Linked DNA regions of Danio rerio. Each later gene encodes a partner of the first gene's protein in a complex. Links are inferred from orthologs where the notes say so. Each region holds a gene or a part of one and is shown in the gene's direction. Other genes may lie near its edges.

The links.
Region 2: the proteins of dbf4 (region 1) and cdc7 are in contact, whole or in part, in a crystal structure (PDB 6YA8), measured with the Homo sapiens proteins. The link is inferred for Danio rerio from reciprocal best matches to the Homo sapiens genes DBF4 and CDC7. Residues at the interface, in NP_006707.1 of Homo sapiens: Thr210, Arg211, Thr212, Gly213, Arg214, Leu215, Lys217, Pro218, Phe219, Val220, Lys221, Val222, Glu223, Asp224, Met225, Ser226, Gln227, Leu228, Tyr229, Arg230, Pro231, Phe232, Tyr233, Leu234, Leu236, Met239, Pro240, Ile242, Asn243, Tyr244; in NP_001127891.1 of Homo sapiens: Asn56, Val57, Phe58, Ala77, Gln78, Leu79, Gln80, Ile87, Ile93, Pro94, Thr95, Ser96, His97, Pro98, Ile99, Arg100, Ile101, Ala102, Leu105, Gln106, Thr109, Lys121, Tyr122, Cys123, Phe124, Arg125, Asn127, Asp128, Val130, Leu143.

What each region holds. Positions count from the first base shown.
Region 1 is NC_133191.1:47,573,723-47,578,180, forward strand, and holds the start of dbf4 (protein DBF4 homolog A), read left to right. Parts: upstream 1-1,438; 5' UTR 1,439-1,690; coding exon 1,691-1,727; intron 1,728-1,921; coding exon 1,922-2,082; intron 2,083-4,458. Other genes in the region: mitochondrial glutathione transporter SLC25A40, read right to left, coding at 751-850. UniProt on the Homo sapiens protein: Regulatory subunit for CDC7 which activates its kinase activity thereby playing a central role in DNA replication and cell proliferation. Required for progression of S phase.
Region 2 is NC_133177.1:11,288,417-11,290,989, reverse strand, and holds the end of cdc7 (cell division cycle 7-related protein kinase), read left to right. Parts: intron 1-1,236; coding exon 1,237-1,386; intron 1,387-1,463; coding exon 1,464-1,804; 3' UTR 1,805-2,043; downstream 2,044-2,573. UniProt on the Homo sapiens protein: Kinase involved in initiation of DNA replication. Phosphorylates critical substrates that regulate the G1/S phase transition and initiation of DNA replication, such as MCM proteins and CLASPIN.

The sequences.
Region 1 (4,458 bases):
TCCAGTTGCAGTGTCACATGATCTTAAAAAAAAAAAAAACGTTTATTCATCAAGGACACAGTAAATTGATCAAATGTGATTAAAGTTTGAGACATTTCTAAATGAAACAAAAGATTTTGTTTTTAAATAAAAATGTTTTTACTATTCACTAGAGAGTCCTGAAATGTAAAATCCATCATGGTTTCCACAAAAATATAAAGACTAGTAATAATAACAATTATTAATGATTGAGCACCAATAATAATTTATCTTAACAAAGCAGCAAATCAGCATCTTAGAATAATTTCCTAAGAATAATTTCACATAGCCATTCTTGAAAATCCAGCATTGAATCAGAGAAATAAATCACATTATCAAATACAGTATAATAGAAAAAAAGTTATCTAAATTTGAAATAATATTTCACGATAGTACTGTTCACCAAATAAATGCAGTCATGCTAAGTTTTTAATTTTAAAACATTAACCAATCCAAATGTTCTCAAATGTTTGACTAGTACTATATATAAATGCATAATTTTGGTATCTATTTAGTAACAACGTGTTAAAGTACAATATTGTGTATGGTACAGTATTTTATGCTACATTTAAAAGAAAAACGCACAATGTAAATGATGAATGTATCTACATTTACTGACTCTAACAAAATACGGTAATAAAATAGCATACAACTCAGCTTTTTTTTAAAAAAAAACATAAAAGGTATACATCTATATATTTATCCATACATAACAAATGTGCAGTCTCTTACCCAAGAGTGATGTAATAATTGCCCCGGAGCAGGACGCCATCATCTGCTGGAAGGGTGTAATGTCCCCCGGGGGACCTGGAGAACTTTCCTGACAGCTCATCTCAAAGCCTGCGATCGAGAGGGAAAAAAACAGATGAATCTGCATTCACAAACTTCATTAACCTCAGTCTTCAATGAGTGACAGCCAAAACTAAACCTTGCCTTGATCATGTATAATCAGCCCTTATTGCATTGACAGTTTCCAGTGTATCATTACAACTGACAACTGCTGAGATTTAAAAAATGATGTAAATAGCATACGCTATGTAACCCCGAAAGAAAAAAAGCAATGTCATCAATGCTATCCAAAAAAAAATTACGAATTCACGTGAATCGTCATGACTTTCACGCTTATTCACCAGTGTGCGCCATTGCGCTTACCAAATATGCCATGTGTTTATCCAACTGTGTGTTTCGCACTGGCAGATTCGTTACTTCCGGATATTTAAATTTTGCCGTTGAACTAAACAGACGTTCGTCGACATGAAAGCGCATCGAAGTTATAGTTTGCATATTTCATAGTAGTTTTAAAATAAACATTCTACATAAAATTCAGAGTATTTATACAAGTGTAGTTAACGGTAAACATTAACATTTTGAGGTGAAGTTTTTTTAAAAACGTCAAAACATATTCGTCGAATCTCTCTTCACGAACGTCAAGATTACTCAGGTTTTGTGGGAGTGGAGAGAAGTCCCCTCGAGCGGGAAAATGGAAACAGCCTGCGTTGAGTGTTTGTTATGTTGATATTTACAAACAGCGGATGCATTTAATGCAGTGTTGTGTTTTTGTGTTGTCTTTTAATCAACCAACACTTCGAAGTAATGTTGCTGCATGTTGGCGGTTTAAAAAGCAGGTTTAGCCGAGTTTAGGGCTGTAACCGTTACAACCAAAATCTCCATTATGAAACACGACTCTTTCTCCAGGTTTAAGGACCGAGGTGCTGTGAAGCTCTTTAAACTTATTGTTGACTAATGATATGTGTCGTTCTGATTATTTTGTAACAATAGTCTCTCATAATAATGATGTTTTGAGAAACGTGCATGCTGTTGTTTATTGCGTAACGTAACTTATCGATGTGCGTGTTTTGAACTTCGGCTTTTAACCGTTCAGTTGTGATGTTCATCTTCACAGACCCCAAGCTGGAAGGACACAACTGTGCATCATCTAAAAGCAGAATTAAATCAACATGTGATCTTCAGAACAAGCCATTTAAAGGCAGAATATTTTACTTGGATCTTCCTTGGAATATGAAAACCCAGCTGCTGGAAAATGACATCAAGACACTTGGTGGTGTAAGTGCTCATAATTGTTATTTTCACATCCAGGATAATTATTTGTAGACAATTGTTTATTAGTTTATCAACAAACGTAGATCAGCCATGCATTGTAATATATATGCAAATATGCTCCTCTTAATATTAGACAACGCTTATTCTGTCCTATACTTTTAATAAGTCATCATTCAGTATGGATGTTTCCCAGTACTGGGTTGCAGCTGGAAGGCCAAGTGCTGCATAAAACATATGATGAATAAGTTGGTGGTTCATTCTGCTTTGGTGACCCCAGATTAATAAAGGGACTAAGCCAAAAAGAAAATGAATTTATCATTCAGTTTTATTGTGACTTGAATTTGTACAATTTTGGCAAAGTTTTTTTGCTTGTTTAAATTTATAATTACAATTAATTAGTAATATTTGCCTCCACTTGGTGATTCTTGTTTAAATTTATAATAATAATAATAATAATAATACATGTTTAATCTTGCCTATTTAAAAAATATTTTGAAATCTGTTTATTTAAAACAGTGCACGTCTTAATAATTAATTATGGCTTATATTATTTTTGTGTGTGTCTGTCTGTGTGTGTGTGTGTGTGTGTGTGTGTGTGTGTGTGTGTGTGTGTGTGTGTGTGTGTGTGTGTGTGTGTGTGTTTTTTTTTGTATTTTTCTGTAGTTCTGTTCTATGTTGTCTGTCTTAACCAGGACTTCCTGGTAGAAGAGATATTGTATCTCAATGAGACTTTGATTAAATAAATAAAATAATGTATGAAACTTATTGTACAGGGTGTCTGCAGGGTTTTAAAAAGTATAACAAGTTGATAAATCAATGCAAAGAAATTAAAGGCCCTAAAAAGTATTTAAAAAAATATTTAAATGCTATTTTTAAGATATTTAATTTAATATAATTTTTGATTATCCAATGTATGGTTGTATACTTAAGTTGGGCTAAAACAAATCTGTGAATATCAGGATGCTGTGTAGTTAATAAAATCAATAAAATCCTGCTATATTTGACATAAATGCTGCTTTGTTTACTGCGGCAACCAAATAAAGACCATTATTTCTTGAGTTCTATAGGCGCCAACCTGCTGAATTAGCTAGATTTATTTGATTTTTATTCAGTATTTAAATAATGTTTTAGTTTTGGATTAGTTTCTTTTGTTAATATTTAGTAAATATTCTGTAAGTTAAAATCTCACAAGTGCTTCCGGTTGATACCTAAAGTGTTTATAATATATGGAAGGAGTCTTTAAAAGGTCTTAAAAGGTGTTGAATTTAACTCTCTGATTTCTGTTTACTCTGTTGTAACACTGAAAAACATTTAACTCGTTGCCTCCTGCAAATAATGGTTAAATCAAATTATAGACTCCTTGATATTGTACTTGTTAATTGAAATAATAAATATAAATAATAAAAAAATGTATATTTTTTGTTTAAGTTAAATAATATAATAACACAGTAATATACATCAAATAGGCATGGGCCGGTATAAGATTATGGCGGTATGATAACCTTGGATAAAAATATCACAGTTTCACTGTATTGTGATTACTGCTCTAAAATGTTATTTTTAAATGTCTGTGTAAAAAACCTTTTTCCCCCTTTAAACACAATAAATTTTATTTTGAGAAACATTTAAAACAGTTTGCAACAGTAAACATTTTAGGCTGAGTAATTAAAATGAATCTTTGACTTCTGCTGTTTTCATTTATTTAAAAACAGATTTCATATCTTTTCTGCTGGAGATGCTGTTGTCCTAAAAAAAAGTTTAATAAACAAATCTTACATAAAACATAGGAACAGTATAGCAGAATAATTTGGCGGTTTTAAAACCTTGACTTTTCAAAACCGCGGTATACCTTGAAAACGGTTATACCATGCCTAAAATCAAATAATAGACTCTTTAATATTGTACTTGTTACTTCTACTTTAAACCACACTACAGTTTCTGCTTTATTTAAACAGATGTTTTGTCTGAGAACTGATGAGTAGGCCCATATGGAATCTATGCGCGCAGACTTTTAGCCCATCATTGAGTCTACTTATTTACTTGTGTAAATATGTGTAAATTTTAATCTATTCAGTTTTTAAATTAATTTCCGTAATAATATTGACAAATGAAAGTGTTTCTTTGATTTATTCAAAATACAATTTGTTCAGTAATATTTTCTGTCTTTTAGTAAAGATATTATATGATAGTCTTGCTTTGTTTACTGAATAAGTGGATCAAGATGGTTTTGCGTTGAAAATTTTTAATAAAAGTTAAAGTTTATATATATATATATCTATATATCTATATATACATATATATATTTATATATATATATATATATATATATATATATATATATATATATATATATATATATATATATATATATATATATAT
Region 2 (2,573 bases), on another chromosome or scaffold:
ATGACAAATAACTCTCTGCAACTAAATGAGAATAAAACAGAAGTGTTAATTTTAGGTCCTGCTGCTACCAACAATTCAATTAAAACTCAGCTAGGAGCCCTAAACGACAATCTGCACAATCACGCCAAGAATCTCGGAGTTATCTTTGATCCACTCTTGCAGTTTGACAAACATGTAAATGCAGTTGTGAAGAGCAGTTTCTTTCAGCTTAGATTGGTGGCAAAAGTTAAACGCTTTCTTTCTAAAAAAGATTTAGAAATCGTAACCCATGCTTTAATCTCCTCTCGTTTAGACTACTGCAATTCTTTGTATATTGGCCTACCTCAGTCAACACTCTCTCGGCTACAGTTGGTCCAAAATGCAGCCGCCAGATTAATAACAGGAACTAGGAAAAGAGAGCATATCTCCCCTGTCCTTGCCTCATTGCACTGGCTACCTATAAAATACAGGGTTGATTTTAAAATTCTTCTTTTCACTTATAAAGCTTTGCACAATTCTGCCCCGGCCTATGTCAGCGAGCTTATTAGGCCATATACAGCTCGCAGATTCTTAAGATCACATGATCAGTTTTTTTTGTCTGTCCCTCGGTCTCGCTGCAAGTCAAAGAGTGATCGTGCTTTCAGTGTTGCGGCCCCAAGGCTCTGGAATAGTCTCCCTCTGAATATCAGAATCTCTCCTTCTTTGGATGCTTTTAAATCTAACTTAAAGACACATTTTTACTCTCTTGCCTTTGACTGATGCTTGCATGTTATTTTTGTATTATTTATATTTTAGTATTACTTTTAAATATATTTTATTGTATTTTTAATACCAGTTATTTTTAGTTTTATTGTCTAGTTTATTTTATTGTAAAGCACTTTGGATCAACTACGGTTGTGTTAAATTGTGCTCTATAAATAAAGTTTGCCTTGCCTTGCCTTGTCTATTATGGGTTTTTGAAAATGACCTTCCATGTAGTGTGTAACAGCTCTAAGTGAAGTGAAATATACAGTCGACTCATAATGGTTCAAATGAATCACCACTGTAACGAGTCTTTAGCAGTGTCTGCGTGATGCCAAACACTGTAGCAAATCCCGCTTGAATCAAGTCGTGTAGACGCTGTCCTCTGAAGTGTGAGGGGAAGTTAGTGTTACTACCCAAAGATGAGGCTGTGAAAAGTCGGTGGTTGAAGTTTATTTTTGCAAAAATATGAACCATGTATTGTATAATGACTAATAAAAGCCCATCTCTTTGCAGCGATTGACATGTGGTCAGCAGGGGTCATACTGTTGTCTCTACTAAGTGGCAGATATCCTTTCTTCAAAGCCAATGACGATCTGATCGCTCTTACTCAGATCATGACCATCCGAGGGTCTAAAGAGACTATAGAGGCTGCAAAGACCTTTGGTAAGTCATTATCTTAAGAGTCTGGATGATGTTGTATTCTCGTATGTCCTGCTGACTCGATGTGTGTCTGATTGCAGGTAAATCCATAGTGTGCAGCCGTGAGCTTCCTCGGCTGGACCTCAGGATTCTCTGCGAGACTCTGAGAGGTTTGCGATCGTGGGATGATGCCTCTCTTCCTGCTGAGTTTCAAGCCTCACATAATCCAGCAGAAGAAAAGGAGGAAGCGGAGAGTCCTGCACTGAAAAGCACAGGCTCCCGTTTGTGTAGAAGCAGTGCAGAGCTGAAGGAGATCGGCTGGGACAGAGTGCCGGATGAGGTGTACGATCTACTCGATAAACTGTTAGATTTAAACCCCGCTACCAGGATCACAGCCTCGACGGCACTGCAGCATCCACTCTTCAAAGATATGAGTGAGTAGTGATTGTGCGCATCCACGATTTTGAGTTATTCTGTAAAGTGTTTTTTGAATGTGTTTATTTGCTAACAACATGTTGTACAGTGATGTATTTATTTTTATATTTTGGAGAGTTTCATTTTGATAATAAAGTTTGAATTGTCCGTTGTTCAACTTTAGAGGGTTTCCTAATTGGATGGTTTACTCAAATATTCAGTGTTCAAGTATTTTGTAGATAAAATAAATTGTGAATATTTTGGAAAGTGACAGACTGTTTCATGTGTTCAATATTTAGCAAAAAATATATTAATTACTCATAATATATATGATACAATTTTTTAACCATCGGGTGCTTGTGGTCCTCTAAATCAGGGGTTCTCAACTGGTTTGGCCATGAGACCCACATTTTTTACATGGTCATTAAGCCGCGACCCAAATTTTTTGGAGCTATAATACAATTTTAGGAATTATACTTAATTTGTATTTGTTTGTTAACATAAACAAGCAGTGACCGATAGATCATAAGAAATTCACCAAGACTTACAAATAAACTATATTTTATTGCTGTCATTTAACAAAATGGTGCAAATTATAGAAATATTACAAAGTAAAAACGACAAATACTGTAAATAATAAACTCTTAATAAAACATGTTTTCTGGTTTCTGAGTGTTGTTTTAACATAGAAGGTTGCATGCTCTCTTATGAGAGCACCTCACTACATATGACACTGAGGCTTTAAGTCTTTTTTGTCGTCAATATATATATCCATACTTTACATATTTGGGGTCGTA